Linked DNA regions of Drosophila melanogaster. The protein of the gene in region 1 interacts with the protein of each later gene in a biochemical or structural test. Each region holds a gene or a part of one and is shown on either strand. Other genes may lie near its edges.

Evidence for each region.
Region 2: the proteins of BEAF-32 (region 1) and Sry-delta form a complex in vitro, tested with the Drosophila melanogaster proteins (one study listed by BioGRID).

The regions. Positions count from the first base shown.
Region 1 is NT_033778.4:14,768,503-14,773,379, forward strand, and holds BEAF-32 (boundary element-associated factor of 32kD), read left to right. Parts: upstream 1-1,966; 5' UTR 1,967-2,083; coding exon 2,084-2,327; exon of another isoform or gene 2,328-2,899; coding exon of another isoform or gene 2,900-3,140; intron 3,141-3,297; coding exon 3,298-3,905; 3' UTR 3,906-4,128; downstream 4,129-4,877.
Region 2 is NT_033777.3:30,041,481-30,045,564, forward strand, and holds Sry-delta (serendipity delta), read left to right. Parts: upstream 1-1,860; 5' UTR 1,861-1,998; coding exon 1,999-3,300; 3' UTR 3,301-3,406; downstream 3,407-4,084. Other genes in the region: Sry-alpha (serendipity alpha), read left to right, coding at 1-1,374; RpL32 (ribosomal protein L32), read right to left, coding at 3,833-4,084. UniProt on the Drosophila melanogaster protein: Transcriptional activator that controls bicoid gene expression during oogenesis. Found in transcriptionally active cells. Binds to specific sites on polytene chromosomes of third instar larvae. Binds to the consensus DNA sequence 5'-YTAGAGATGGRAA-3'.

The DNA.
Region 1 (4,877 bases):
AAAACTTCGCGCACACACACTAACGCGTACATACACGGATTTTTCCAAGCAACAAAAGATGTAACAGATGAAAATTGAGAGAAGGAGAGGCTCAACTCGGTATTCTCTACGCGTTTCAAACACTGACTATTCGGAATTGTAAACTATATAGTTAGTTTTCTTATTTATTTAGCTTTTTTGAACTACCATTTGCTGCGAGCACTACTTTTTTATTAACATAAAATTTGCACCAACGAATCAATCGCGCTCGCTCTCGCACTCTCCGTCACTCTATCTCCCTCTCGCACGCGCTCTCCGCAGCTTGCGCAGAAAGTTTTTTGGGCGATTTCTCCATGTGTGTATATGCTGCTCTGCTTGCTGTTGCTGCCTTTACATATTTCATATTTACATACGCCTATACATACTGCAGCACAGCTATAATTTTTCACCGATTTTCCCAACCGATATGTTTAATTGCCAACCGCAGCGGATTTCCAACTATATTTTCTTCTTATTGTTTTCGCTTTTCACTGGGCTTACGTATGTATGCATGTGCGTGAATTGGAGTACTTCTTTTTAGTAACAGTAAAAATGAGAGGGCGAGAAAGAGAGAGCACTGGATGAGCTCGTTTTTCATTATTTCGCATTTAAAATGTGTAACTCTGTCTTTTAATTCATTTATTTAACAACGCGCACACATACACAAAAACACACACACACACAAAGCAGGAGCAGACGCAACAAAATGTAGCATTTTTCTTTGTATTAATTTTGCACTGTTTTAAATGACATTTACTTTTGCTGCTTGTTCGCAAATTTTTTTGCGTATATTTGTGCTTTTTCCGATTGGGCGTTTTTTTACAATTAAGCAGATATATTCACAACAATTGACATTTCCAAAAACAAACGACGGCGACGGCGAAAAAATTAAGAGACAGTGTGACCGTGGAGCAATCCGATAAATATACTCTCTGTGCCAACTCTAAAACTCCACATAAAATACCAACGTATATAAATGCATATAACGAAAATATTAGCTTTTTGAATTTGCAACTCTGGGGTTTTAATTTATGGCGGATTTCTTGAAAACGGTAATATTGACAAAACTTTAAATGTTCGTATTGTTTTCTTTATTCAAAATTTTAATTTTTCAAATTTTTTTGTGTATCGACATTGTGGATCATTAATAGTTTTAAATTAACAGGAATTCTAGGAAAACCTACAATTTGGTAAGCTAGAGCTAAGAATCGATTCTTTTATTCATATTGGTTGGGCAACATCTTTCGGTGCAGCTAATCCACATGCAGGCATCTGTATTGCCTGGTAGCCTTGAATTTCTTTGATAATCTTATCCTCCTGGCTGTCCAAGGCGACAAAGACCAAGAAGAAATCGTAGTGCGTTTCGATGTCCCGCGCACTAACCACGACGCACCAATCCATCAGGGCCTCGGTTATCTTATCTGTAGCCTTGTCCGCACTGGAAACGTCCGGATTCCAGTGGGAATCCTCTTCATCCTCTGATGTTGGATATATGACATAGGTTCTGTAGCACTTGTGCCGCTCCATGTGTGAAGTGCATCCATGTTATTTGACCAAGCTCGATTCTGGAGAAGACATTCCAGACTTTGCCGCGACTGCGCTTCTTGTTGAATTGCCGGACTCCGGCGTTCAATTGGGCCTTGATATTGTCCTGGCTGTAGGAAAGCCATCGAAACTTTACCCATTTAAATAAAAAGATTCTACTGATTCAATATACAATAGTCAACTCAATTGAGTTTATCGATAGACTGTTTACTATGGGTAATCGGAATCGCTAGTCATATGAGAATTTTAGGTTTTAAACTAAAAGAAAATATTCAAAAAACATAAGAAACAAATAAAATTCAAAAAAAATTAAACTTACAATCAAGTTCTTTTTAAGAAAATCAGTGGCTGTTTACACCACCTTACACTTTTCGCACCGTGCTAGCGCTTGTTTACCAACACAGTTTTGTGCGTGACTGAATTTTCGTGAGTTTGTATTTGTGTACATTTTGTAATTTGGGTTTGTTTTCTTCTTGGCAAACCGAATTACCACCGCAAATCGAACAACCGATACACCACGATGCATGTTGAAAAGAAATCAGAGCTTCGTAGCCTACTAAAATCCGGGGACAAGCGTTGCAAACTCGTTGAGCCCAGGAACACCAAAAGCTGCGTCTGGAGGTTTTTCAATCTCGTCCAGTGCGACGACCACATAGAGCCGTACGCCTGCTGCAAAACCTGTGGCGATCTGTTATCCTACAGCGGCAAAACTGGAACCGGATCCCTGCTACGGCACCGATGTCTCCACTCCAGCAGCAGTAACGGTAAGTTCGGGATCCGAAATCTCACGCACGCCCTTCACAATCGAAATCCACTGCCACGCGTGCTCCGTGCCGTAGAAACCGAGCACGGATCAGTGCCCGATGCCATCGCGATAAATCCACGGGTCATCGGTACAGGCTCCTCCACTTTGGCGCGGAAAAAGTAGAAACTCTAGTTATAGCAAGGCAGTAAATCGTCTTGAAAAAAAAAACTATAGATAAAAATAGTGCAGGATAGGTACAGAATTTTCCCCAACCAGTGGTTGTGCTTGTAAATAGTTTATAAACCTATTGTATATTATCTAAAATGCTATTAAAAAATCAGCTAAAAAATATTGTTATGTTAAAAGTATTTTTATGATTTTGCGCTGTTGTAAAGTATGTAAACATTCTCTTATTTTCGTTTTTCACCTCTGTTTGCCGTTGCCTTTGTTTCCACTCTTATGTTCATGCGTTTTACAACACTGCAACGGCACTTGACAACACTGACTACAGCAACGCCAATATCGCAATAAATAAATTTGTGGAGAAAAATCACTTTTGACGTACTAATTACCTAGAGAAAAGTATTAAAAATGCCCAAGGGTCGTGTTAGCAATGTGTGGCAGCACTACGATATTAACGAGGAGTGCGAAAACTTTGCGATATGCCGTTATTGCGGCAACAATATATCGCGTGGTGGCATGGCCAGCAATTTGAAGGGCAACAATACGACCAATTTGTGGACGCATCTGCGGCACAAGCACAGGGACGAGGTGCTGGTCAGTCCGGTGCAGCAACGTCCCCAGGCCCGGATGATCCCAATCATCAAGAAAGGTAATTCCAGCGAAGTTCGTATGGCGGGCTATCGACCCTTGGGTCGGCGGGAAACTATCGCCGGCGCCCATCTCTGGGTTATGATATTTTTGTTATTATCCGGTAGCTGTACCAATATGTATCGTATTAACCATCGCTTCCATCCTTTGCATTGCAGACAAAACCGTGCGGATTACCAAGGCCAAGACGCTGAGGGAGCCGCTGCGTGTGGCCAAGCCGAAGATCGAGTCGAACGTCGCCAATTATCTGGGCGAGGCGGGCGCCCTGCCGCAAAAGTGGGAGGAGTACGAGCAGAACGATGAGATTAGCGAGGACATTAAGGACATCATATACAGCGAGGATCCACTGTGCTATAGTCCTATACACGTGATGGATGATGAGGGCCTGGATCAGCCTGAGAAGCAAGTGACCGTGCTAACCCATTCGACTTCACCAGCCGGTGGAAGTAGCAGGCCCATCGGTGTTGGTTCGGGCGTACAGGCTACTGTGGTGGCCTCCACGTCCTCCAGCAGCAGCTCGGCCAAGCAGCTGAAGAACAACCTGGAGACGTCCATCGAACGGCTGACCGCTGTCAGCGAACAGCTCAGCTACATCATACAACAGAATCACGAGGAGCTCACCAAGGACGACGACTACTATTTTGCACTTAGCTTGGTGCCCGCAATGCGCCACCTTTCGCTCAGTCGGAAGATGTACGTGCGGTCCAAGATCCAGGATATACTGTTCAAGGAAAGTGAGGACTCAACGCTTGCCAAGGATGAGTAGGCGGTCCATTATATACATTTACCCAGAGGAATAATAAAACGAGGAACGAAGGAAACCATATGGTAAATGGGCAAATCAGCGTGTCGTAATCTAGGTTAATAATTATACATATGTTATGTATTCATTTAAATTATGCTCTTTTATCGATTGAAAATACTTACTTTGATTGTATATTTCCCAATTATATTTTACTTAAAACTCAAATAAAGCACTACAATAAATTAAGGAAAAGGCGATTTCATGGTGTATTACGTTTATTTTAAATAAATTTTATTTAAATAACTTGTTAAGATTTACAAAACAGAGAGCGTTGCTAGATTGTTATTATAAATTATTGTATTGTAATTTACAAATCGATTTTGCGGCTAAGTTCTGCTGTTTATGCGTTTCTTATAGAGATATGCTTGTATTGGCCGCTCCCCAATTGCGTAGCCAGCCATTTCGTTTTTCTCTTCAATATTTTGTAGATCTAGGAGTGCAAGCGTACATTATCATACAATACGAATACAAATTACAGTAAAACTCCTACAAATCGAGCAATAAACAATAAACTTAAGCCTATATATATATATATATAGTATGCTAGGCTTAGATTCTAGTCAACAAATCGGTAGTTTATCAAACACTGACTTGAATAGCGAAATGTATGTATGTCTAATTTGATGATTTGGTTGTTGATATAGGTAAGTGGTTCGCTCAAAATGAATTTTGAATTGTGGATATGATGGGCATTATACAAATATGTTCGCTTAGGGTGGATATTAGGACTAAGTGCACGATATGTTTGCCAAAAGTTTGGTATAAATTTGTTGTAATATTACGCGTAGATATGCTGCAAATCTGGCTTTTTGTATATCTATGTAGGTATATAACATTTTGATTTCGGTTCTCTCGACTGGCAGAGTGTATTTCCAAGACTTTCCTTTCATTATTTATTTATTTATTTTTTCGATATTAATCCAAGAAAGTATC
Region 2 (4,084 bases), on another chromosome or scaffold:
CACCTAGAGCGGACCATCAGCATGGAGGCACCGCATATGACCAGGCAGCACTTCCTCGACCGCTTGGACTGGTGCTTGCGGCGACTGCTCGTCTCCTTGACGCAACTGGAAGGCAACGTGACCCCAGTCAAGAACCTAGAGGATCACTCCTTCGTTGAGCTCATGGACCTGGCTCTGGACCACTTGGATGACTACATGGAGAAGCTGGCCCAGCAGAGAAACAACTCGCTGCACATTCTAGAAGAGAGCTTCACGGAAGACACCTACCAGCTGGCCAGCATAGTTAATCACATCGTTCGCCACGCCCTGGCCTTTGCCAATGTGGCCATTCATTCGGACAAGAAGGCTTTGACGGCTTTGTGCGAGACCTTGCTCGCCGAATGTGCCACTTTCCACGAGGAGGCGGGCGAGCCCAACAGTGGTCATCGGAAGCTGGAGGCCCTCTCCCTGGAACGTGCCCTCTATGCCCTGGAATCCTTTCTCAATGAGGCGCTGCTGCACTTGCTGTTCGTCAGTCTGATAGATCTGGAAAACGCTTCGGTGGAGAAGCTAAAGGATGCACTGCAAAGGGATCCTGCGGGAGCTCAGGAGCTAATCTCCGCATTCGACACGAACATGGATCGCATTCAGCAGATTGGGGTTCTGGCCATAGCCTTCTCGCAGGACATCAAAACGAAGACGATTGTCAGGAGCTGCCTGGCCTCACTGGAATCCCTGGATGCGTGCATTGTGCCCGCTCTCCAGCTGCCAGAGTCCACTTCATCCGCACACCACGCGGAGGTCTTGCAGGAGCATTTTAACCAGGAGCTGCTGATCTTTAGGAACGTCATCCACGAAATCATCGATAGCTGCTCCCTGATCAACAACTACCTGGACATGCTGGGCGAGAGGATCCACGTACAGGACAAAAGCCATCTGAAGCTGATTGTCCAGAGGGGCGGAGTGGTGGTGGATCACTTTCGGCTGCCCGTCAATTACTCGGGACTCAGTGAAGATGGCAAGCGGGTGCACAAGGACCTCATTCTGATCCTGCGCGAGTGCCAGGCCGTGGTCAACCTGGACGTCCCAGTGGATCCCAAGCGCATCGTGAAGCGCCTTAAGATACTGTACTCCGTGCTGGCCAAGCTGAGGGACTTGATATGCAGGGATAATCTGGAGCCCGATTCCTCAGTTGCTTCCGAAGCTCAAGTGCCCTCAAGTGCAACCCGAACTTTTGTGCGGAGCAGTCGATCCTTTGGCAAACGGCATCGATCCTTTGTAAAACAAACCGGAAATTGCTCAGTTTTCGGGCCACAGGACTCACTTGCTGAATCCGGACACAGCGAAAGCGATCTTATTAGTTTCCAAATCACTGAGATTCTTAGGTTAGATTGAGTGGGGCGAGCCATATTCTAAATACGCGGGCTTATCTGTATGAGATTTTTTTTAATACTTCATTGGCTTGAAGTGCTTAATTAAGATTAAACATATCCTTACAAAGATTCTAATTAGCTACCTAAGTCAATTGTGTTCTTTACACTTATGTAATTACTTCATTAAGTTGAAGCCATTCGCATAATTTATATAAAATACAATTAAAACATACCATTATAAAAAAATTATATAATTCAATTCAATTTTTTCAGGGAATCAATAAATTAAATGCTACTCGTTTTCATAACTAAAGAAACCAACACCACCATAATAATCAACAACAAATTATGTATTTATGCAAATTGAATATCCGTTTGCAATATTGAGCAAACACATATTTTTATTATTCAACTCATATATTTCAGTTTTCACACCCTGTTCCATTCCCACCGTTCCGTTCCTGGCATCAATCGGCATCGTTCGCCAGCCCTGGTGGGCATTATGCCATGGTTGCATTTCACGCATTTTAGTATAGCTTCCGATATTCATCATTTTGCCAACTCTATTAAATTTCATACACAATTTAAAAGATTGTAAACAAACGCCGCACGAAACGGAATCGCTAAAAGGACCATCGTCGGCGCAATGGATACTTGCTTCTTCTGCGGCGCCGTCGATCTGAGCGACACGGGCTCCTCCAGCTCCATGCGCTACGAGACGCTGTCGGCCAAGGTGCCGTCGTCGCAGAAAACAGTGTCCCTGGTGCTCACCCACCTGGCCAACTGCATCCAGACGCAGCTGGACCTGAAGCCCGGCGCCCGGCTGTGCCCGCGCTGCTTTCAGGAGCTCTCCGACTACGACACGATCATGGTGAACCTGATGACCACCCAGAAGAGGCTGACGACCCAGCTAAAGGGCGCTCTAAAGTCCGAGTTCGAGGTGCCGGAGTCCGGCGAGGACATACTCGTGGAGGAGGTGGAGATACCCCAAAGCGATGTCGAGACAGACGCCGATGCCGAGGCGGACGCCCTGTTCGTGGAGCTGGTCAAGGATCAGGAGGAGTCCGACACGGAGATAAAGAGAGAGTTCGTGGACGAGGAGGAGGAGGAGGACGACGACGACGACGACGAGTTCATCTGCGAGGACGTGGATGTGGGCGACTCCGAGGCCCTGTATGGCAAGTCCTCCGATGGCGAGGACAGGCCGACGAAGAAGCGCGTCAAGCAGGAGTGCACTACCTGCGGCAAGGTGTACAACTCCTGGTATCAACTGCAGAAGCACATCAGCGAGGAGCACTCCAAGCAGCCCAACCACATCTGCCCCATCTGCGGGGTGATCCGGCGCGACGAGGAGTACTTGGAGCTGCACATGAATCTGCACGAGGGCAAGACGGAAAAGCAATGCCGCTACTGCCCCAAGAGCTTCTCGCGCCCGGTGAACACCCTGCGCCACATGCGCATGCACTGGGACAAGAAGAAGTACCAGTGCGAGAAGTGCGGCCTGAGGTTCTCCCAGGACAACCTACTCTACAACCACCGGCTGCGCCACGAGGCTGAGGAGAACCCCATCATATGCAGCATCTGCAATGTGTCGTTCAAGTCGCGCAAGACCTTCAACCATCACACGCTCATTCACAAGGAGAACCGCCCAAGACACTACTGCTCCGTCTGCCCCAAGTCCTTCACCGAGCGCTACACCCTCAAGATGCACATGAAGACCCACGAGGGCGACGTCGTTTACGGGGTTCGCGAGGAGGCGCCCGCCGACGAGCAGCAGGTGGTGGAGGAGCTGCATGTGGACGTCGACGAATCGGAGGCGGCCGTCACCGTCATCATGTCCGACAACGATGAGAACAGCGGCTTCTGTCTCATTTGCAATACCAACTTCGAGAACAAGAAGGAGCTCGAACACCACTTGCAATTTGATCACGACGTGGTCTTGAAATAAGCTACATTGCCTACAATAAGTAATTGTTTATCTTTCCCTAGTGTATTTCCTCCTCTTTGTACTTGATTATTGTAGATTCCTACAAAATATAATTTACTGGTATTTCAATTACTGCGTTTCATTTAGACAGAAGCATTTCCGATAATAATTGTACACTGTTCTGTAAAAATAATTGCGAATATATATATGATTTCATATAAACAACCTCTTTCAATACTAAGGGGGAAAAATGTAAAATATATAACAAAATTCCCTGATAAGGATTGATGCTGTCTAGTTTTGGCACGTCAAGGAATTTATATTGGTCTAATATCTCGAGGCAGTTGCTATCAGAAAGAAAGACCGCAATGGTCTGGATTAACTGATATCCATCCAGATAATGCACATGTTATCAATGGTGCTGCTATCCCAATCTCAGAAATGACAATTGAACTCGGCACTCGCACATCATTTTTTAACTAAAAGTCCGGTATATTAACGTTTACAAATGTGTATTCCGACCACGTTACAAGAACTCTCAAGAATCTTAAGCTTACTCGTTCTCTTGAGAACGCAGGCGACCGTTGGGGTTGGTGAGGCGGACCGACAGCTGCTTGGCGCGCTCGACAATCTCCTTGCGCTTCTTGGAGGAGACGCCGTGGGCGATCTCGCCGCAGTAAACGCGGTTCTGCATGAGCAGGACCTCCAGCTCGCGCACGTTGTGCACCAGGAACTTCTTGAATCCGGTGGGCAGCATGTGGCGGGTGCGCTTGTTCGATCCGTAACCGATGTTGGGCATCAGATA